Linked DNA regions of Mytilus edulis. The protein of the gene in region 2 interacts with the protein of the main gene of each other region in a pairwise test. Links are inferred from orthologs where the notes say so. Each region holds a gene or a part of one and is shown on either strand. Other genes may lie near its edges.

Region 1 (12,567 bases), on a different chromosome or scaffold from region 2:
CCCAATGGAATTACATCTGCCAGAGAGTTCAATAGACCCAGAAGTTGCAAGAATTGACGTGCTGTGACTGATTGAACCGTCAGGAATAAATGTATTTTCTGACATAGTTTTGTAAATTTCTCCTCTGGTGGGAGGACTAGGCCTACACTGGTTAGGAAATGTTCTCCCAGGAAAACAAAGTCTTGAGACGGAATTATCTCTGACTTTTTCCAAGAGATAAGGAAACCTAGGGACAGAAAACAATTGATGACCAAATCTGTCTGAACCCTCAATTTGATTGGGCAAAATTCCTTGAGAAGGGAATCGTCCAGGTAGGAATGAATCTGAATAGACAGGGAATGTAGGTGAGCTATAGCTGCCTGCATGATTTTTGTAAAAGCCAAAGGGGCTGTAGACAGGCCAAAAGGGAGAGCCTTGAACTGGAAAACTTTGTTGTTCCAAACGAAGCGAAGGTATTTCCTGTAAGTTTGGGAAATGGGAATGTGGAAATACGCGTCTGAAAGATCCAGAGAAGTAGTCCACATTCCTGGAAGGATTGAAGCCCTGATGGATCTGTTTGTTTCCATTTTGAAGTGGGGAACAATAAGAAATTTGTTCAGAATAGATAGGTCTATGACCGGCCTCATTCCTCCAGTCTTCTTTGGAACCAGAAAAAGACGGGAATAAAATCCCGGAGACAGAGTTAAGATCGACACCTCCTCTATTGCAGCTTTTTGTAACATTGTGTCCACTTCTACTGATAGAAGTTGACACTTTACTGGGTCTTGAGTATGAGACAAACTTATTGGAACTGCAGACAGAGGAGCTGGGTTCTTGAACTGAAGTGTTAATCCCCCTCGAATTATTGACAGCACATAACAGTCTGAGGTAATTTTCTTCCACTGATTTAGGAAAAAACTTAACCTCCCCCCTACTGGTATTGATTTTTGAGGAACTTGTTGTAAATTTTCCCCTGGGGAAGCTGTCAATAACGTATGAGGGGGCAAGAACCTAGGTACTAGACCCAGGTTTCTTGGAACCCTTAAAACCACCAGAAGGCTTACCTGAGCTTTTTCCTGAGTTATTGGGTTTGTTCTGCGGTTTGCCGTAGTTATTCTTCCTTTTCTTAGCAGAAGAAGGAGGACCACCTGAAGCAGAAGTACTAGTAGAACTAGATGTAGCATTAACCGACCTCTTGCCATTAGTAACTTGTACACTAACTTTGACTGGAGGAGGGTTTTTGCTGAGTTCCTCTTGAACCCGCTGTAAGGGTAAACCAAACATCTTGTCAGAGAGTGGAGATTTCAGTAAAGAATCTTTCAAAGGCTCAGCGATAGAAATGTTTTCAAGAAACTCTGCTCTTTTAGATAGGGTGCAATTAGTAATAGAACCCATTAAAAGCAACTGAGATGAACCTAAAGCTTTATCCAGTTGAAGTAAGAAGGATCGTACTTCTGCTGGAACAACCGAATCTTCGCTGTTAAGCAAATGTCCGGTTGCAGCTAGAAAATGTTCGGCTGTGCCAAGAACTTGAGAAGCACTACGAAGGAGATTCTCAGTCTTTGACCAAACAGGTTGAGTGAGACGAAGACCATCTACTGGCTTTTTTCCCAATAAAGATGACATAGATTTGTCACAATTGGGAACAAGTCTACCCAGTGAAGAATCAAAGATATCAAAATCCTTGTACTTAACCTGATCAGAAAAGGATGACATTCCAAATCCTGAGATATTGTTATTAGCAACCTTTTCACTAGCAGAATTAGCGATACCTTCATTAATAAATTGTAAAGCAAAAGCCATATGGCCAGATTCAGGAAAAGAATTGTGAGAAGTCACAGTATCCTGAGAAATACCACAGGAAGCTTCAAAAGTTGAAGAAGGTTTCTTCGGCTTGGAAGGAGAGGCAAAAGGGATATGTGCTTCATCCCTCATCAAGGTATACACCTTATCCCTAAGATCCTTCAAGGAAGGAGGATCCTCAGTCTCCTTGGTGGGAGGTTGTTGAGCTGACTTAGAAGAAGGCTCAAGGGCCGTCTTCGATACCTTGGGAGAAGAAGAACTTTCAACATCCTCATCAGTGAGGAAAGCCCTTTCATGAAAGCCCTTTCATGACTCCCAGGGGAAACAGAAAGCTCGTCATCCTCCCTCTCATCACATTCTACAGACTTAGCTGGAGAAGGTTGATGAGAAGAAACTCTATTCTCCAGTAGAGTCATACGACTGGATAGAGTGCTAAATTCAGCTTTGAAAGACTCACCAAAGTCCAAAAGTAACTTCTGTAAACCATCCAAAGGTGATGCATGATCAGAAACCTGAGTACCATGAGAAGAACTAGAAGCTTGAGAGTCAGGTACGGTGGTAGAAGGAGCTACTGCAGAAGTCAAAGATACTGCTACGGGTAGAGCAGGAGCTAAAGGTGGTGCAGTAGCTACCCCAGAAGGGGGACCATAGAAATTGTCTCTATAAGGCCAAAAACCAGGTTGGTTTGGCATAAACCCACCATAAGGGTAAGACTGTGGCCAAGGTGGCTGAGACCATGAGGGTAAAGGTTGTGTGCCTGTGTTGGGAAGCATATACCCACAATAGGATAATGGGGGTCTAGAACCTGGCAAGTTCAAGCCCATAGCTGTACCTGGGACAGAACTAATAGTACCCGCTGAATTAACAGGCCTAGATAAAGTATGAGTCACCGAAGTTGACGTAGGTACCCCCCCAAAATGCATGGCCGAACCTTGTGAAAGGGTCGGATAGGTAGCATTACCAGACACCGTTGTCGAAACTCCGGTCAATGTACTGGTAGTTTGGGGGGGACTTAAAGGTAGTGACCCATCTAAGAGATAGTCCGAACCAGGAATACTTACATACGGACTATTCAAATTAAAGTCCATAATAAATTTTACTTTAGTAAAAAAAACACAAATAATTTGTTTAGAAATTTAAACAAAACAAGGGAATATATTTCCAATAAAATACACAATATATATGAAAAGCAATTAAGCTATTCAAAACAAACTAAACACTTCTCTGTTGAATCTGTAAAACTTGATGTGCACGTGTGACCGATGTCGCAGATGGAAATTGAATGGAAGAATATGGGCAAACAGGGGTATATGTCCGGACCAGTGAGAGTACGTTTATTTTTAGTAGGGATTTTCCATCTGACCTATGACGCAATTGGGGTTACACTCAGAATTTATGATGGTAACGTATTTATAGCTATAAAATCCATAGCATTCATCTGAGAAATATTGTCTTTATACAGACAAAATTTCGCTATGAAAATTTTTCCTTCTCTGGACACTTTTCCATAGACGAGGACAATATTTCATGATATATAGTTATGAAATATAGTCTTGTGGTACAATATTTCATAGGACAACATTTTGCTTTACATATGTGCCTATAGCAGGCCAAAAGATTACAGGTCACCAGTTTTACAGCTTTACTGTTCTGATACTTACTCATCAAAAGAGGACAGGTCACCAGTTGTATAGTCTGTTGTGCTGATGTTTATACTTGTCACCTTCTCAGATTTAATATCCTGAAAACTCAAGGAACAATTTAAGTTATAAATAGATGAACTTAGAAAAATAAACTGAACTTTTTGATTCTAGGAGTCTTAAGGTGGTACCTAACACTACAGGGAGATAACTCTGTAAATTCCGTTGTGTTGTAAAGGGAATATTAAGCTTCTCAATGATCAAAATTGGTGTTTGTCAAACTTCTATATATATATATAACCAGTGTATTTTTTCTGACAAAATGGTTTGTTCAAAATGTTTGAAATTTTTATATTTTTGTTAAAGGGTCAAAGTAAATACTTTAACAACATTTTATGAAAATTAAACGAGCCAAATTAATTTTAGTGAAAGTGTTGGATACCACCTTAATAGCAAAATAGTGTATACAAAAATGCTACTTTCATGTCTTGTTTCCCAATTTGTCACTAATTTACAGCTGACTTTGTAGTATGGGTAGCTCATCATTGATGGCAAAACTGTGATCTTCAAGTAGTATAAATGCTAAAATCCATGTTACTTTGACACTGACAGACATGATGGCAAGTCAAGTCAAATGGCAATCATTCCACACTTTCTTATTGTATATTATATTTTATTTCAACTTAATAAATATGACAATTGACAACATATATATCAGGTGTGTGTTTAGAATTTTGGAACAATCAATATAAAAATGCAATCCAACCCTTTGCATTTATATAATAGTTAAATTTCAGCATGACCTGTCCTGGCTGTCAAACAGAACAAAACGTTTGCATGTAATCCAACATGTTTACAGATGAAAACTCCATGAACAAATGACAGCACTAAACCATTTTTAGACAGCAACTTTATAATTTTATTGCAATAATTTATGAATAACAGTCAATTAAATTACTGTATTTGAAAGCGATGCAGTGCCACTGCAATATGTAACTTGACCATTGAGGTATGTGGTGCATTATTATGTAGTATTTATTTCAGGAATTAAATATTGTGACTAAATTCGTAAGTAAAATTTAAACATGCCAATTAGGGACCGCATTACATTAATTTTTACTTGTACTAGTAAATAAAATTTAATATACTAACCATGAAATGGACCAGTAAATCTTCGTCAACTCTCATAATCTTTAGTATGTGGACTTTGTCTGATGAATCCTTGTATCTCAGGGTATACATGTCTTGATTAGCATTCCAACCATTTGGTAACATTTCACTCTTCTTCTGATTCTTTGCTTTCTGACAATCAATGACAATAGTAAATAATAAACATGATAAATAGTTCTATATCAGAGATAAATTAAATTTAACTATACATGTTATAAATTTGATTACTTTTGTTAAGACAATCCTTTCCTGCAGTCATAGTAATTTTATCAGTCCTTTTGAAGTAAATTATATGACTATTCTACCCTAGGCGCTTATCCTCAATTATATAAAGACACAAGTGTGAGGGTACATGGATACACAAGATTATGATATGTCTTATACTAGATATTCTACACACCAGAATGAATATGGAATTACATAAATACTTAAATTTAATATTTCAATTTTAGCATATGCAATGATATTTGGGGTAAACCTCAATGCTATTGTAACACCAAACAAAATGTAAACATGGTAAAGCAATCACATCCAGGCAGTGGCAAATATTTCATGAATGTTATGGATGAGAAGCCTTCAATGATGGACAATTGCAAGTTTCTGTATCATACATCTATGTTCAATGTCTAGATTTAAGGAATAATCTAAGATAAGTTACATTAGAGTGTGAAAGTGTTGATGATTATATAACAAGTATTATAGATTCAATCATGATCATGATTTTCATGATTTGTTGACTGTTTTAATATCATGAATATGGAACATCTGTCATGTCTGTGTTACAGATGACCAAATTTATGTTCAAATTGTAGTAGCATAATGGCAATGTCCTCTCATCTTGATTGTGATAAGAATTACTAGGAGGAACCAAACAATAATTGTACTAATTTCCATCAGCAACCTAGCAACACTACATTGGGGACATATTGAGCAGGATTTTCTTACCTGTCAGAGCACCATAGATTACACAGTTGCATTTCCTGTTGTTCAGTCTTTAGTTTTCTATGTCATTAAAAATTGAGTATGGAATATATGTCATGTAGGTAGGATATAATACTATAAATTTGATATTTGTATTTCTGTTTCTGTTATTTTTGGATTTTTTTTTTTGCCATGCATAGTCTTAGTTAATGTTGTTGTCAGTTTTTCTTGGGCAGTATTTCAAATCATTCATTTAATCCTTCTTTGCGTATACAGAAGCTTGTCATTTATAGTCCAGTATTTTATTTTTTCTGAGACAAAATCAAAGAGAAAGTAGAAATAATAGAAAGTGAAAATAGAATTAAATTTGACAACACCGAAAACAACACCTCATCATCTCCTATTCCACAGCATTTAAATCCACTTGAGATTAAATTCCAGTGTATCACTGTCACAAGAGCATCTTGAGACGATCGTAATTGATTAATGACGCTGCAAAATAAGACTTCTTGTCCAGCCATTTTTACTTTTTTTTACAGGCAGTTGTCTCCCTTATCTCACTTCCTTTCAGATGTAAACAAAGATGTCAGCTCCCATAAATAAAACATGTTTATCAAATTCTACCAAAATCAATAAGTATCTGTTGCAATTTGCAAATGAACATGTTGAGTTCAGACATGCTGTAAGTTTTTCAATCATTCCACATCCTTGTGGACCTTTTTTCAGGTCCGTTCGCGCCCAATATACTTTCGCACCCTACACGTTCGCACCTCGCACGTTCGCACCCAAGGTCCGTTCGCACTCTACACGTTCGCGCCCAATTTTAATTCAAATACCAGTTGAATAATTGGAAAATCATGATTGTTGTTTTTAATTGCTTTCGTGTAATTACTGAATGTATTTATAGCTTGGTATGAGTAAAAGATTGAATATTTTAGATCATTTTAAATGAAAAACACAAAAGATAATTGTTTTTAACAGCTTGGTCCCTTTGATCTGAAACAATGAAACAATAAAATATAGCAATACACTATTATAACCAAAACATGATAAAATTTATTCAACACACAAAAAAAAAAAAGACGTAGTCAGAATCTCACTTCATTGTGAAACAAGTCAATGAAACAAAGTTAAAGCAATTAATACACTAACCAAAAAATGATTAAGAGTTATTGAACACAAAATAAAACATTGACAGAATCCCACTTTATTTAGAAAGGAATAATTTTTTTTTAACAATACACTATCCAAAACATAATTAAGATTTATTCAACACCAAAAAAAAATGCTGTCTCACTTTATTTTGAGACAACGAAAACTATTATACTTATAAGAATACTACTTGCCAAAACATGATTACAAAGTTATTAAACTCAAAACCAATTAAAATTGGGCGCGAACGGACTTTGGGTGCGAACATGTAGGGGGCGAACATGAGTGGGTGCGAACATGAATGGGCGCGAACGGACCCGGATTCGTCAAGCCGGGGGTGTGGGACGTCAGAGCTTGTCCCATATCAAAAAGTGGATATTTGTCCGTCCAAAAGATGCGCTGCTTAGTCGCTTCTGGTGCCAACTAACGGCCTTGGAATTGTATAAATTGGGTATCAATTTGTTCATTTTTTATTTATCTCGATCTTCATTTATGTAAGCTTCACCTACCTGCCACCCTTTATTTTTCCATATTTAAACAGTTTTCACAGGACACTTCTAGCTAGGGTCTCTGTGACTCTGTACATCTATATGGAATAAAGTGCAAGACAACTGGAACGTTTACAATTTTACATTTTTAACACTGGTTATCTATGAAGTCAACTAAAAAAAACAAAAACAAAAACAATTGTAATTCCAACTCAGGCCAAATAAAAAAGTGTGTGTGGTTCCAGTTACATCTGAAAAAAAGTAAGGGTAGGTAGGTAGGGATTTTTTTTATTTTATGGTTTTTTTTTTACATTGAGTCTATGGGATAACATTCTGACTTTAACAGTGCTTAATGAAAAATGCCAATAAAATCTTTAGGGTAGGCTATTTTTAAGCCGAAAAAGTAGGGACGGTAGGGTTACTGGAACCACACATATATTTTTATTTGGCCTCAGACAAAGTCTAAACATGCTAAAGGAAAGGTTTTTGATGTCTACAGAGAAAAAGACAAATCAGAGTGAGACTACACATATATGTTCATGATGTTGGAAAGGAAATTTGACTGTCAATGAGTCAACTCAGAGTGATTGCATCACACATTTTTCTTTAAGTCTTTAAATTTTATGCTCATATAAAAATTTTAACATTGTTACAAACCTGCATACATGTACCTAAGGTATCCCCCATTGGGATTCTTCAATCATTCAATCCTATTGAAGATTTACATGTACATGATGTATATATGGCATTGGTTCATAATATTTCTTTTTTAATGTACAGTCCCTATGTGAAAGAGGCAGGTAAGAGAAGCACAATTAAAATCTTTCAACACGTTCAAAACTGAGAATACCTGTATTTTTTCAAAGAATTTTATCTGAAATGTGACAAATAACATTCAGTGAAAACTGTTATAGAGAATACAAATAAGAAGATGAGGTATGAGTGCCATTGAAATAGCTCTCCATTTAAGTCTCAATTTGTAAAAAGTAAAAATTATAAGGTCATAAATAAGGCCTTCAACATGGAGCCTTGTCTCAGTCACTGAACAGCAAGCTATGAAAGGCCCCAAATGAGTAAGTGTAAATAATTCAGAAAAACAGGAAACACCCTTTCTAATCTATATGAAAGACGAGAAACACTTATAAATCATATCAACAAACAACAACCACTGAACAACAGACTCCTTACTGATGACAGGTTCAAACAAGTATGAACAACATGATATTGTACATGTATATGTGTCTATTATAAACAGTCAATATTTATTCACATACCTGCCAACTTTTCAAAATGCCCATGGGGGTTTTGCATACAAGATGGCTGTCATAGTTCTAAAAAAACCTTCAAGGGGCCTTCAAATACATTTTAATGTTGTTTTTTGGCTTCTTCATACTTTTATAAGCCTAATTAATGTCATTGTAAAATTAATTGTTTTGTTTAAAATTGTGAACAAAATTGCTCTTTCAAAATTTCATTTTGGGAGCCTCCATGGGGGAAATCACCTGCAAATAGTGACAGTTGGCAGGTACATGTATGTTTCATAACCATGATAACAAATAAATGTGCTTCTATTATCATTTTTTTTTCAGGAGATAAAAGCCATAAGTGAATTGTTTGGTTTTACTGCAAAACCTCTGGCAGAAGATAAATATAGTTCTAGTCCTGGTGTAAGTCATATTTAAAAAGACTGTAAATCAAGTTATATTTGTGGATACTTTATTTTGTACTAAGCCCTTTCTATTCACCTTAAGCAGTGTTAAGCTTTCTGCAATTTTGTTTCAGGAAATTAAAATTTTCATTTTTTTTTTTATGAATATAAATAATGACAAATGATCATGATGATGGAAGACTCAAATTTAATAATTTCACTTTATAAATCTTGAAAATAAATTTGATCATAAAAGGTATTATTTTAAGTGTCTAACATCAACCTTATTAAAGGGGGTCTCATTGGGGGGGTTCCGATCCCGGATTCAGCTTACTTTTTGTCAGGTTCCCGTATCCCGCTTACACTATGTACGTAAGTAATTCTCATTTTTTTGTCATTTCCCGGGTCCCGCTAGACCTCATTTCAAGTTTTCACGACACAATAATTTGACTTTCACGTGTCACACTTACAAAAAATCGCCAATCCCGCGTCACGCTTATACCCCAATGAGACCCACATTAAAGAGAAAGATTATGTTACTTTTTTGGTTGAAACATATCAAACTTCTTAAAGATACTAGATTATGATTTATAAATACAATAGAATCTGTTGTAAACAAAAGACTAATCAGTGTCGTGCACAATTAAAAAATGTTAAAAAGCCAAATAAAGTACAAAAGTTGAACAGCATTGAGACTGAAAGTCTGAAAGATTTTGCCAATAATGTATTATATATGCTGATCTAGTTGTGGTTTCAAAACAGTGATTACCATAAAAGAGAATTAGCAATTATTTTAATACTAATTACTCCTAATGATTGAGTTCAATTATTAAGCAGTGAACTCTGTATAGTTTGATAATTATTATTTTGTAGTCGCCATATCTGATGGTAGAACTGAATTCAGAGAAAGAAGCCAGAAATTTGATGAGTAGAACCGTCCTAATCAAGTATGTCAACAAATATTTGTTACAAAAGTTAACCTCATATTTTAGTTAGGACTACTCACGGCTATTTACCACACATGTCTTGTTTGGTATTTTTGTATCATTAATGTTTTTTTAACATCTTCAAAGAAATCAACCCAAACATTATTTCACACATTATTGGTAATTATTTTTCTGTTAGGCAATTTAAATTGTAGGTCAGTCCAAGACTACACATAGTTAAATCAGACAGCTGAAATATGTTAGACTCAGAAAAAATTAAGTGATGATGATTTTTTTTTTTGGTCAAATCAGTTTATAGGAATTAATAGCTTTTGTTAATAGTTTACTAAGTTAATTTGTCCTTGCATTAATATTAACATTAATTTCAAGAAAATTACCCCCCCCCCCCTAAATAACTTATAAACATATAACAGGCTATTATTTAAACTTTGAATTATTATTAATCATGGAATTTTTATAATTTCTTGTGCTTGAAATTTCTAGTAAATTCCATGCTTATTCTGTACTTCAATGGTCTGTGCTGCGCACAACACTTTCTTTTACAAAGAAGATAGTACATTTTCAATAGAATGTACTGTGCCGCGCACAACACTATAATACAAAATACATTATATGGAAAGTGTTATGAACCGCTCAAAACATTATTATACCAAATAAACATGGAATTTATTAAAAATTTCCAGCACAGAAAATTTAACAAATTCCATAATTAAAAATAATTCCAACTTTAAATAATAGCCTGTTATATTGAGAGTGTATATATTGTAGGTCTCTGTATGAAGTATGGGGTCATGGAGCAACATATAAAGAAGTTTCTGAACAGGTAGAAACAATACCAGCTGAAATAAAGGTAACAAATATATGAAAAGGGGTTCTAAATTTTTTAATGTAACATTATAGATAATGTAATCTTCAGAGTTTGAAAGGGAGTAAAATGATATTGAAAAAATGATTTAACTTTTTCCTAAATAAAATTGTGTAAAGAAGTAACATATAAAAAAGAAGATGTGGTATGTTTGCCAATGAGACAACTGTCCACGAGAGACCAAAATGACACAGACATTAACAACTATAGGTCACCGTACGGCCTTCAACAATGAACAAAGCCCATACCACATAGTCAGCTATAAAAGGCCCCAATATGACAATGTAAAACAATTCAAACGCGAAAACTAACAGCCTTGTTTATATAAAAAAATGAACGAAAAACAAATAGTAACACATAAAGAAACGACAACCACTGAATTACCATCAAAATACAATGCAACTCGTCGAGAAAAATTGACTCGTTTAATAGATGTCGAATAAACGTCGTATTATATTAAAAACAATCGCAATTTAAATAGAGAAGTGTGTACGGAAAGGAGTCATGCCCACTGACCCAAAGGAAATTAAATATTTAAAGAGTTAGAAATGGGGTTCCTCCTAGAATTAACGGGGATTAGATACGAAGTGAAATACCTTCTCTCACTCTCAGTGACTGCTGTGTAAACTTGGAATTGATAGTACAAAAATAAAACACAATAAGTACATTGCTCATACACTTGTATCCGGGATCGGCTATTTTTAAAATTGAGTAACTATTTAGATTACAAAAATTACGTTTTACATGTTTGAATTAGTTTTGAAAATAATACTATCCAACTATACCAGGGCTGCCAGAAATGCGTGAGATGCACGCATGTTTACGCTTTTTTGCTGCATTATCCTTTGATCTATTTTTTTTTCTCCTTGATCTTTTCAATTTTGGCCAAATCTCGCGCATTTGCTTCATGAAAAGTTGGCAGAACTGCTATACATGCGTCAATGAAAACAATGGCAATCATATCCCTCAGAGCATTCTGCTCTTTGATTTAAACCTATGACTATATTAATGTATCCAAGCATGACAAGTATTAAAAACACTAGACATGCATATTTAATTTCTGGCGTCATACAAAATTTTGACGCAATACATATGTTCAACATGGCTTAAGAAAATGTCAGTTCAGTTTAAAGTTCAAACCAAAGGTTTTTTTTGTAATAAATACTACTTTGATTACTCAATGCATTTTAGTTTCTTGTGTACAATTTGGAGTTTAGTATGGTGTTCATTATCACTGAACTAGTATATATTTATTTAGGGGCCAACTGAAGGACGCCTCCGGGTGGGAGAATTACTCGTTGCATTGAACACCTGTTGGTGACCTTCTGCTGTTGTCTGCTCTATGGTTGGGTTGTTGTCTCTTTGACACATTCCCCATTTCCATTCTCAATTTTATATACGTTTTGCTCCTAATCTTTTTGAACAGAAAAGACAGTGTATACATATCCTTCCTCTTTATTAAACTAGCATACTATTTACTGTGGATTTATAATCATTCGTTGGATACCATTTTTTATTGGTTTCGTGGGTATTGGTGAACCATGAATTAAAATGTTCAACAAGTTACTAATTTTTTCAAGGCTGTATGTTGAGATTGGTAAAACCACAAAACAAAATATCTATGAAAGTGCAATTTTCCTCAATTCACAAAAAGTTGATACCCAGGCATAGAAATGAATCCACAGTATGCATTTTATTTTATAGAAATCAGGTTTCAGTGCTGAGAAGACATTCAGAATAAACGTGGATACATATAACAAGAAAATAACTCAGGAAGATAAAATAAAGATTATTGAGGTATACATGGTATATGCTTTGAATATAAAAATGAGTTAATGTTTTTGCTGTAAATATAGAACTGTGTTAATGTTTTTGCTGTGAATATAGAAATGAGTTATTGTTTTTGCTGTAAATAAAGAAATGTGTTAATGTGTGAGCTGTAAATATAGAAACG
Region 2 (12,274 bases):
AAATCAGTTCAAAACTACACTGTTTTTCATCATTTTATACATAATAATAGATATTTTAATAAACTTTTTTGGCAATATTTTTGTATTGATGACAATTCTATTATTTAATTCAGAAACTTGGCCAGAGGGAAATGTTGTATGACACAACTGTTGCCACTCACTATGTGTTAATCCAATAAAACAACTTCACTATCCAGACATTACAAATCAATCAATCGTATGGACTGCTGGCATCCAAACATGTATATACTTGTATTTTAATTTTAATTTCGGATTGTTCCTCACTATTTTTCATGTTAATTCAAATTTAATAAGCAGATTTAAAATTTACTTTAAACCTTTCAGCTTACTGAACATTAAATTAACTTTGAGGCAAGGAGAGTAATGAGGTAGATTTAAAGAGTACTGTGTTTGAAGAGTTGTCACTGTCAAATACAACTGATGTTGACTAAGATAACGCAAGTTTTTTTGCCAATGAGGCCACAATTAAAAATATTTCAGTTTGCCCAAACCCGACCCATGATGACTGGGTGTGGGTAGGTAGGCAAATTCTTTTTTTTTTTTTTTTTTTTTATCCGAATTTGCATGAAAATATTAAAAGATCTTAAAACAGTATATCTTTTTTTTCTCTGTCAAACCTTTGAAGAGACAACCAAAAGCCACGAATTTAAAATGAGACTTGTAAATTTGAACTTTTTGAATAAAAGGGCATCTAATTTACGTGATGAAGGAAGATTATACTTAAAGACAACAATTTATCAAGAAATAATTCCTTTTTATTCAGTAAAATCAAAATCTTCTTGCAAGATTGTAAATTCACAACTTCCGGATCAATTTCCCGTCAGAATAACATTGAAAATATTCGATTGCACATGGTTTTGAACAAATCTACCTGAATATTCTTATCAGATATTCGATAACACAATGAAATTAACATTGAGCATATAGGTAAGGGTTTGGTAGTACAAACAACTACAGCGTAAAGTACTGTGCCAATTCACTTGTTTTACTTCTTTACGTTCGTTAAATCAGAAGATAAAAACAGAGAACATCGAATATCGATTAACTGCGTCTCTTATACGCTTTCTTTTAATCTTATTCGCAATTACTTTCAAACGCAAAGACGACAAACATTAAGTTTTGTACGATGACGGAGCGGACCCAAAATAAATCCAAACAAGAATGTGTCCAAAGTACACGGATGCCCCACTCGCACTATCATTTGCCATGTTCAATGGACCGTGAAATTGGATAAAAAATATGATTAAGCATTAAAATTAGAAAGATAATATCATAGGGAACATGTGTACTAAGTTTCAAGTTGATTAGACTTCAACTTCATCAAAAACTACCTTGACCAAAAACTTTAACCTGAAACATGCACTTTCATTTTCTATGTTCAGTGGCCCGTGAAATTGGGGTCAAAAGTTTAATTTGGCTTTAAAATTAGAAAGATCATATCATAAGGAACATGTGTACTACGTTTCAAGTTGATTGGACTTCAACTTCATCAAAAACTACCTTGACCAAAAACTTTAACCTGAAGCGGGACAGACGGACGAACAGACAGACGGACGAACGGACGCACAGACCAGAAAACATAATGCCCCTCTACTATCGTAGGTGGGGCATAAAAAAACATTAAAAAAAGAATTTGAGTCGGCAGGTTTATTTTGGGTCGGTCGCGTTTGGGCAAACATACAATCTTTTTATTTTGGCCTGACTTCAATAGAGGAATTGATAGAAGACATCATCCAATTAAAATTACTGTTATATGCTTAATTGCATTATAATACAAAATATCACGTAAATTACAAAGAAAACAGATATTACTTATAACCATTTGGGTCAACATCTTTAATTGTTTTTACATATAAATATGCAGATATGGCAACGTTTTTTCCTGTAGCTCAGTCCATATTGTAAACTTGGATATGTATGATAGCTCGTTTTGAAGCTGTGACATTTTCACATATGTGGTTAAATTTTCAGGGTACAAAGTGAGACTACTTTTTTGTAGATTAGCATACCCGAACATCCTTTCGTGATGCGGCTCCTCTGGGTAATTTTTTTTTAACACAATTAGTTCTTTGAAAATTTAATACTTTGAACACATTTAATAGGTCCATAGATTTTACACATTTATTCTATGTTCCTCTACTTTCGTAATCACCATAAATGGTTAAGCTCAGTCAATTGTAGAAACATGTCCAATATCACTCATTTCGAGGCACATTATGAATATTGACCCATTTGGCAATGAACTCTGTAAAAGTGAATGCCAAAGCTATCAAAAATAAACTTCACTAATATTTTATGTTATTCCTTGAAAGAGGTTTTGATTGAAGTATCTGATATACTGTATCCATTGCTTCCAAAGCAGAAATAAACACAAAAAGGTTTAACAAGGAATTATTTGAATCTGAGTTATTTTGAAATCTAGACAATTGATAAGAAATTTAAGATAAAACTAACCCTTCTAAATATAGGTCCACCTTTCAAGAAGGAGATACCATTTCAGTCATTAAAACTCAAGTTTCATGACAATCTACATTGTATGAAGGTTAACCAGATGCTCCACAGGGCGCAGCTATATACAACCCCAGAGGTTGAACCCTGAACAGTTGGGGCAAGTATGGACACAACATTTAAGCTGGATTCAGCTCTAAATTTGGATTGTGATTAAATAGTTGACACAGCATAGGTTTCTGACACAGAATGAATGTGGTCTAATGAACTTAAAATATTTTTTTTGAATTTGAGCAATTCACTATGCTGTTGAATATTAATCCTCTCAAAAAAATGTTTGAAGAAATTTTCTTTTTATTTATGAAATCTGAAATGAGAAAAATTTAACCCCCTCCCCCCCGATTTTTTCTTCACATCCCCCTTTCCCTTTTACCAATTTTAAAAGGGTTAGGGTAAAAATATGAAAGTATGAAAAGAGCTTGCTACTAAAATAAAGCCTTTAGGAAAAGTTTTGACCTGCACAAATATATGATGTATAAGAAATATCAGAAATAACAACTTACCTATACAAACATCGATTTTCCCTTTGATAGCAGCTTCATGAAGAGGTGTATAATTCCAATTGTCTCTTGCATTAGCATCTCCGCCACTTCTGAGCAATAGCTGAACAACCTCAGCATGTCCAAAGGAGCAGGCATTATGAAGGGGAATCAATCCACCATCATCCTTAGCATGGACACTAGCACCACATTCAAGAAGATGCTCTACTACATCCTTTCTACCAAATCCTGTAACGTATAATTGTGATATTTAATTCTACTCATACTCAATCTAAAATAATTATTCATAAGACATAACATCGCATGTGACTGCTAAATATAGATTTTTACCACTGCATCAAGTGTGATACAATACAATATTTATCCTCTAGAGATAGTTTAAATTTTCAAATTTAAATTGTGAGGCTCGCCGAGCCTTTTAAATATTTAAATTTAGCTGTGGAGTGCGGATAAATATGATTACACAAGATTTAACAGTGGAATCAGTTTCTCAAACTATTTTTAAACAATATGAAAGCAAATGTATTCCTTCTTTTCAAGTGATCTACAAAAAGAGGTGTGTTTTTCATCAGACATGGTCGCATTTTTTCATGCCGTCATATTAAAAAATTCAGAGGAAAGAAAAAGAATTTGACATCATTATCGAATTTTAACAATGAAAAACTGAGATCAAAGGAACCACACATTGATTTAATAAATATAATCAACATGGAAGGAAAAGGAGAAATCATGTAAGAATTAGAGAAAGTGGTATATATTCATCATGTTCAAAGGATTCCCAAATACAGTTCTGGAATAAAAAATGTTTAAGAAAGATGAAGGGGTCTATGACCATCAAATAAAACAAGTGACCTGGATTACAGTGGAGTCCCTGGTTTCTGTGTGGCCAGTGATATCCCAATTAGCTGATTTCGTTCTATCAACATAGTTTCACAAATAAAATAATTCTTGTTATTGTTTTAGCCTTCCAAAGGGATAAAAAAAAGAATAAAATTGATAAGTGGAAGAGTTAATTCATAATTACTGTAATCCCCTGATTTACCATATTTGGCTAATTTCCATTAAAACAAAAATACATCATCAGATAAAATTTGTTTTATTTTGACTAAAAAATAACTTTAATTATGTTAAAGGTAATTTAAATTCTATTAAACAAAGAATTAATGACCAATGTTTGCAAGTCCAGAATGCAAATATATTTGAATCCAAAAAGTTAGACTTTTTCAAGAGTGTCTACATAATGGGCAGAAGACCACCCTATGTTGATATATTGAAAAACAGAAGTGACAGAGCAGCAATATGTAAGATCCGTATAAGCGCTCATATACTGATGATTGAAAGAGGGAGACATCTAAATATTCTCAGAAATGAGAGATTCTGCTCTGTATGTAATTCTGGTCAAATTGAAAATGAAAAACATTTTCTTTTATATTGTGAAAAATACTCAACTAAAAGTGGCATATTTTACCATAAAGATTCAAATATAATCGTTGATCCTACAAAATTTCAAAAACATGAAAATAATATAATCTTTTTATTAAATAATAATTCATACACAATCCTAAAATTGACTTCCTCTTTCATCTCAGACAGTTTGAACCTGCGTAAAGCAGAACAAACTCTATAAAATTGTCAATATGTCTAATTCATAATCATTGTTTATAATTATAATATTACATATCAATATAGTCATTATTTGCAATACTTATTATGTTTGACCAACTATGTAATTCATATACCATGAGCCTTAACCATTTAATTTATTGTTGATGAGTTTGTGCTAATAAAATATTTGTAAAACATTTGTATTTGTATTTATATCAGATTGAAATTTTTTTTGCCCTGCATCCTTTGCAGTGTGTTAGGTTCAAATTCAGCTATATTTCATAGTATAAAATCTTTCCTTTATTGAAAATAAGCTTTTTTTGGAAGGCATGCACGAAATAACTGGACATTGGAGGAATTCTCAGATAAGGGGTTTCCCTAATTTTGGACACACATAACACTAAATATTGAGGGTGAAACCATACAAACAGAAAATTTTATGAAATAAAAGTATGTTATGAATGTGTTCACACAATATTATCCAATTATTGGTTTTATCAGTTGAATGAAGTGAAGTCATAACTCTTACATGTAAGTGTGCCGAGAAACCAGACTGCACCCTAGTCCAAATAATTATGGCTTGAAAAGCTATATTAATTTTTGCTTTGCCAGCTTTCTGCAGCATAGTACAATGTAGTAAGATTTAGAGAGGGGGGGATAGGAGGGGTCCTGATCCCGAAATCCCGGGTTTAAACACATGAAATCCCGGGCTTAAAAACACGAAATCCAGAGGTCCCGAAATTAGAATAAAGAAATTCCCGGATCCCGAAAGTGTCAATCCCGAAATCCTGAGCTTAAAAACACCCGATCCCGGAGTCCCGATAAAGCTTTAAGGTCCTATCCCCCCTCATTTAGACATTTAAGTAAATAAATAAAATAGTCTTTCAAGACATCATAAGAATTTGGACTAGCCTTTGATATGCAGATACATATGCATGATGTAAATATTTATTATGACTAAATTATATCATAATATGCAATGATATGAGAATAAAATTTAGATTGGTATTTAATATTTTTCAATCAATTCATTAGGACAAAGTCTGTTTAAATTCTTGAGTATCAGATTTATCTTTTCTAAATTACAGAGGCTTGAAAAGGGTAAGGTGGTTGTAGGTGAGGCGATTTTCAAAATTCAAATGTAGAAACGAAAACAAACCTGCAGCGAAATGGAGAGGAGACGACTTCCGCCCTGCTGTATCTTTCGAGTTCACATTGTGACAATTGACTAGCTTTTTTACTTTGTTCAAATCTCCATTTCTGCAAGCTTCGAAAAGTTCTCTTCCAGGATCATTATGGGACGGAGAACCTCCTATTTCACTCTGGAGAAGCGAGCGACGGGTTGTCGCCATCTCCAATTTTCATAATTCTCGCAAGCTATCGCCAGATGCGAGATATATTGAGTAAAGGAGAGATTTAATTTATTTTTAAAATTCCGTATTTTTCACAAATTATAGATTAAAAAATACATCAGTATTAATTATAAATCAAAATTGATTTCAATTAAACATTTGATAGTATTTCAAATTAATTCATTTATCTGAAAATACAGAAGGATAAATATATATATATTCAAAATAAAATCTTTCTTTTATTCATTTTAACTAATTGATAACAGGTGCAGGTGCTCTATCCAGCTACTGTATACATATCTCTATATTTCTTTGTTATAACAGGTATGATGAAAAATAAAAACTGGAATGTGTACTAGACAAAAACACTTAATAAGAAACCAAACTCTTTCTGAATGACATTGTGTATTATAAATCTTGTCACCTCTTGGCCTTGGAATAACTTTTTTTGCTTTAGTTTAGGGTTTATAAGTCAAGTGTCTTCGGGTGCAGGTGTAAAAAACAGTGAACTTCTAGAAATTTTGTATATGTTAGTAGAACCTTGTGTCATAGAATTTGAGTTGTGGTATAGATAAGTAAAGAGACATTTATTTTTTAGAGTGAAAGGATGGCTGAAGAGAAGGTTTTGAATTGGGGTATATGTGGCGCTGGAAAAATCAGCAATGATTTCTGTTCTGCAATGATGACATTGAGCAGATATGAAAGGGAACATAAGGTATTGTATTAATGTTTTATAATATACATAATATTTTTTAATACAAGTTAGTGCATCTTTATCAGATGTTAAGGTTCCACTAAAGTTAAAATATAGAAAATTGCATAAACATCAAAACCTTGCCTCTATTTTTCAATCTAAAATGAAGAAATCCCTAAACTATGGGAACATAGTTCATTTAACCATACTTAACGTATTCACACTGTGTAAATTGTAAACATGGTAAATAAACTTAGAATTTTTGTGTTATGGTCAAACCGGTTTTGGAAGTGAACACTAAATTTTCCAAAAAATTTGGAGGCCTGCTAGATTTTGTGTTATGGTCAAACCGGTTTTGGAAGTGAACACTAAATTTTCCAAAAAATCTGGAGGCCTGCTAGATTTCGTGTTATGGTCAAACCGGTTTTGGAAGTGAACACTAAATTTTCCAAAAAATCTGGAGGCCTGCTTGAAGACTTAATTTGTTTAAAATTGGTATGAACGAATACTTCTACATGTAATGCAGTACATGTACAAGCTAATGTTGATTTTTAAGAAAATGTATTGATTTAGGAGTTTCAGTTAATTTTATGTATCTGAGTGAACGAATATCGAAGGTACAATACAGAAATTGGACAAAAATGTCATTGAAACATATGTATGTGACAAATAAGCAGTAGCTTGTACTGCATTACATGTAAAAGTATTCGTTCATAGCAATTTTAAACGAATTAAGTCGTCTAGCAGGCCTCCAGATTTTTTGGAAAAATTAGTGTTTAACCCCAAAACCGGTTTGACCATAACACAAAAATTTCAAGTTTATTTACACAGTGTGTATATGTGAAGTATGTTCAAATGAGCATATGTTCCCATATAGTTAAGGAATTTATTCATTTTAGGTTGAGAAATACAGGCAAAGTTTATATGTTTTTGTAGTGTCCCAGACGATTGCAATAGTTCAAAATACAGTGTTCTTGATATTGGACATACACATGGGTTTTTGATGAGTTGAAAAGAGTGTTTTAAACAGTAAATTTAAAAGTACTAATTCTACTTTTTTGTTGAATCTTTGTACATATTGTAATTAAATAGTTATCAAAGGTACCAGGATTATAATTTAGTATGCCAGACGCACGTTTCGTCTACATAAGACTAATCAGTGACGCTCATATCAAAATATTTATAAAGCTGTTTTGTAAACAGGAAATTTATAAAAATGACCACATTACATGTATTGATATTCATGTCAACACCGAAATGTTGACTACTGGGCTGGTGATACCCTCATGGACGAAACGTCCACCAGTAGTGGCATCAACCCAGTGGTGTGAATAGTTATCAAAGGTACCAGGATTATAATTTAGAACGCCAGACACACATTTCATCTCCATGTAAATTAACCATCAACAGAATGATCAGGTATGACCAAAAGTTTGAAAAACTGATGAACCTTTTTGAGATCACAAAAAACAACTCATTCCAAGGTTGACTTTGCCTAAATTTTAACTTAACTTTCATCATGTTCAGTACGTATGTTACCAAACAATTACAAGCATAAAATATAATTAAACGCATATGCATGCCAATACTCAAAATACTACATGCTTCTATGCAGATGATAATCTTGGGGAGTGATTATCCAATCTTTTAACAGTTTACAGTTGGTTATTTTTTATTTTTAGATTACTGCTATTGCTGCCAGGTCCCAAGAAAAAGCCCAAAAGTTTGCAGATATATTTGAAGCACCAAAAGCTTATGGTTCTTATAAAGATGTAGCTAATGACCCAGATATTGGTTTGTATTTATTATTTTTGATATTCATTTTTTTAACACTGTTAAGTAGAAAATAAGATGATCATAGGAAATGTATTGATTCAGTGTATAACAATACTTTATTTTAATTTTTTATTTTAAGAGGGTTACACAGTTAGCTATATAACTAATCTTCCCTGAGGCCCTCATCATGAAAAATCAAACAAAATGCAAACATATACATTGCATACATTAGTATAAAAAGTTATGTATGATAATAATGTTCAATACAACTTGATAAAATGTGATGAAAAAATAAACATGATGACATAATCAGTTTTTAATATTATTTATACAGCTAGGCCGATTTCAATAAATGATCTGTTATTTTGTATTTGAAAGAATTAACATTTGTAATATTTCTTAACAGTATTGGCAAATTATTCCACAAGAATGGTCCAGAAAACATAAAAGATTTTTTTGAACAATTCTGTTTTTAGTTTAGGGAGTATGAGGTTTCCTTGAACAACATTTCTCAAGGGGTATGTATTTCTTTCTGAAACATAATGAAACTTGTTAGTAAGATATGATGGGGCATCATTTTTGATGCACTTAAATGTCATCAGAAACTTGTGGTATTTTATTCTCTGATAAACTGTCATCCAGTTTAAGTGTTTGAATAAGGGCACAGAAGGAGCGAAAGGGTGTGTTTCTAGTATTAATATAGCAGCTCTCTTTTGTAATTTTAATATCCTATTTGAACCCTCACTGCTGCAACTACTCCACACTATACAACAATAATCAATTAGTGGCAAGATATAACCATTATAGAATAATTTTCTGCAGTCTAGATTTAGAAATTTTTTAATCTTTCAATAGTAGATTTTATTTCCAGAAATTGTCTACATCGGGGTGATACATACAGAGCATGTCAGATTGAGTATGATGATGTTAGAGGCTGGAAAACATGTGGTATGTGAGAAACCATTGGCACCAACCTGGCAAGAATGTAAAAAGGTCCTAGATTATGCCAAAGAGAAAAAACTACTGTTCCTTGAGGTAAGCTTATTGAGCTAGTTGTAAAATTTATGATTATGTACACAATATGCATTTTAATCTTTAGATAGGTCAGCATAATAAAGGCCAATGCAAAGATTACTTTCTTTTAGATTGTTATAGAAAACATGTATCTTAAGCAATGTAGATTTCCTTTGAAAAAGGTAATTTTGTGAAATTTAAATTTTTGGGAAGAAAAAAATCTATAAAATATGAATTTCTGACCCTTGTCAATTTTGTCCAAAATCTGTGTTATGAAATTCATTTTGGTCAAATATGTCAATTTCAACATACCGGTACTTATGATTGATCCACAATGACATCACAGTTATTTTAGTTTTATGTCTATATTTAGGCAGTTTGGAGTAGATTCTTCCCAGTCTATGATGCAATCAAGGATGAAATAAATTCTGGAAAACTAGGAGACATTTCCATGGTAACCACACAATTCTGTATTCCTATTATGTCAGTAGAACGTTTATGCAAGAAGGATTTAATGGGTGGTGTACTTCTAGATATAGGAATCTACTGTATACAGTTTGCTTGTCATGTATATGGAGAGATGCCAGAAAAGATTATTGCAACTGGTAGCCTAAATGAGGAAGGTAACCACATGAGTCACCAAATACTTCAATAGTCTGCTGTTAAGTGTGGATTATATACTTATGAAAAAAGTTTATTTGCTATAATGTGTATCACAGAGAAGTTTATTCTTATTTGTATACATGACAAAAAGCACAACCGCAATAGTCTTTTAAAGACTACTAAAGAGAGATATAATATCTGCATTAGAAAATTCAATGTTAGAGAAAATGCAAATGACCAAGCTCATTTTTAATGAACTTTTGAATATTCTTTAATTTTGCTTTCTTATTAAGAAAAAACTAAAATAAATTAAAATAATATGAGTTATCTCCCCTTATAAAGTAAATATGATAATTATAAATCTATCAACAAATATTGTGCATATAAAAAAGTGTTCCAAAATTAACTGCATTTCTGACTCTAATCCCATTAGAATTATGTAAAAATATTAAGAAGAATAATCAAGTGAAGCTTCTTGAATATATTATATACAGGTGTGGATGAAGATGGATGTGTAATATTATTATACAGTGGAAATAGAAAAGCTAGTTTGGTATACAGTGGTAAAACTGCCTCTGGGAACAATACAGCTACCATAATGGGATCAAAAGGTCAAATTTTTGTAAGTTTTTATGATAAATGTGTGTTACTGTGTATAGCTCCTGATAATTCGTTTCATAGTTTTAATAAACATTTTATTGTTAAAATCTGTGAAATATTTATGTTCTATGATGTTAGTTGCTCGTATATTTCCCTTAAATTTTATGTGTCGAGGCTATTATCAAAGCAAACTATAAATTTCTAGTTACACAGAAAGAAAAAGATTAATAAACCATGATTTAAAACACTCTTTTAAAAAATTGGTTTGCTTATCTATGGCATGCAAATGTGCGTACATGAAGATAAATTGTTGTAGCTTTCAAAATTTAGACAGCGCAAAACGGTTCTTAAAAGGAAAATATTTCAACATGGTGCAGCAATATTCTTGTATACAGTTTTTCCTTGCACCTTTTGATGAAGCATAAGAAAGAAAATTTATATGAAAATGATAGATGCTGTTTAGACAGCTTTACAATAACAAAAGTTGAAGGAAAATTTTAATTAAGTTGTGCAAAAGGGCTGCCTTTAAATACATAGTAAAGGTCGCTTGAAGGTCATTTTATATGTACAGTAACACTGACCTTGGCACTGAAAGATTATTGATATCCCTAAAAGTAAAGCCAAAGTTAATAAAATTAAAACGTGAAACTGACATGAAACCAGTTGAATTTTTTATTAAAATAATGTGACAGAAAATGAGGAAATGATTTATTATTTTACAGATTGATGATTGTTTCTGGTGTCCCAAGTCTGTAAAGCTGACAGAAACAACATTAGAAAATAAGATACCTGAAGGTCCATCACCGTATAACTTTTATAACAGTGGTGGACTACGATATGAAGCTGACCATGCATTCAAATTAATCAGAAGTGGTAAGGTTAACCAGGGTTTCCCCTGGGTCAATTATTTTTGCCACCTCTTTTGCCAAAACAATATATTGTTTGCCACTTTGATATTTTTTTCGCCAAGTAACATATTTTTCTCCCCCTCCCCCCTAAATAAGATGAGTTTGCCCCATCTTTGTCTATGATTATTCTCTCAAACTTATCTTAGAGTCTACGTAATGAATAAACACTTAACATTTACTATTAAAAAGACGGAACTTTTTTAAAAGGGTGAAAATTCATTATACATGTATTTTGAACAACTTTTCTTTAGAGGGGGCCACTTACTTTTGATAATAAAGAAGATATCAGTCCCATAATATAACAAAATTCTTGGACATGTTTTGACAATATATTACAAGAAATATATACAGTTCTTTGAGAAAGTTTCATTAAAAGAAAAATAGGTGCCCTTTTGGTCTATGAAGTGATTTTTACAACAAAACAAAAGCTTTTATCAATTGGAATTGATCCCTCAATTAAGGTGTAGGTAACCATTGAAGGGTTACTCCCTTTCGAGACGTTGGTCCCAATCTTTTGCAAAGATTTCTTCATAATGACAGTTTTCTTCTAGTCTAGGCCATCGAAAATGAAAAAGTTGAGACGTAAAACTATGCTTGAAACATGTCGTGACACACAAACGACTTTAAAGTACTCTTTAAAATCAATTACCTATATCAAGTTTTAAATCGGCGATTTTTCTTGCTTTTAAATTT

What was found.
Region 1: the proteins of poly [ADP-ribose] polymerase tankyrase-1-like (region 2) and proteasome inhibitor PI31 subunit-like interact in binary tests that used the Drosophila melanogaster proteins (3 or more experiments, as listed by UniProt). The link is inferred for Mytilus edulis from reciprocal best matches to the Drosophila melanogaster genes Tnks and PI31.

Annotation. Positions count from the first base shown.
Region 1 is NC_092355.1:34,354,821-34,367,387, forward strand, and holds the start of proteasome inhibitor PI31 subunit-like, read right to left. Parts: upstream 6,066-12,567; 5' UTR 6,035-6,065; coding exon 5,903-6,034; intron 4,725-5,902; coding exon 4,575-4,724; intron 3,524-4,574; coding exon 3,444-3,523; intron 1-3,443. Other genes in the region: tRNA (guanine(10)-N(2))-methyltransferase homolog, read left to right, coding at 6,097-6,195, 8,743-8,820, 9,675-9,748, 10,517-10,598, 12,318-12,410.
Region 2 is NC_092347.1:81,453,091-81,465,364, reverse strand, and holds the start of poly [ADP-ribose] polymerase tankyrase-1-like, read right to left. Parts: upstream 6,034-12,274; 5' UTR 5,987-6,033; coding exon 5,794-5,986; intron 3,258-5,793; coding exon 3,033-3,257; intron 1-3,032. Other genes in the region: trans-1,2-dihydrobenzene-1,2-diol dehydrogenase-like, read left to right, coding at 6,594-6,701, 8,363-8,474, 9,328-9,491, 9,844-10,093, 10,568-10,695, 11,396-11,546. UniProt on the Drosophila melanogaster protein: Stimulates proteasome activity, probably by ADP-ribosylation of PI31. Modulates 26S proteasome assembly.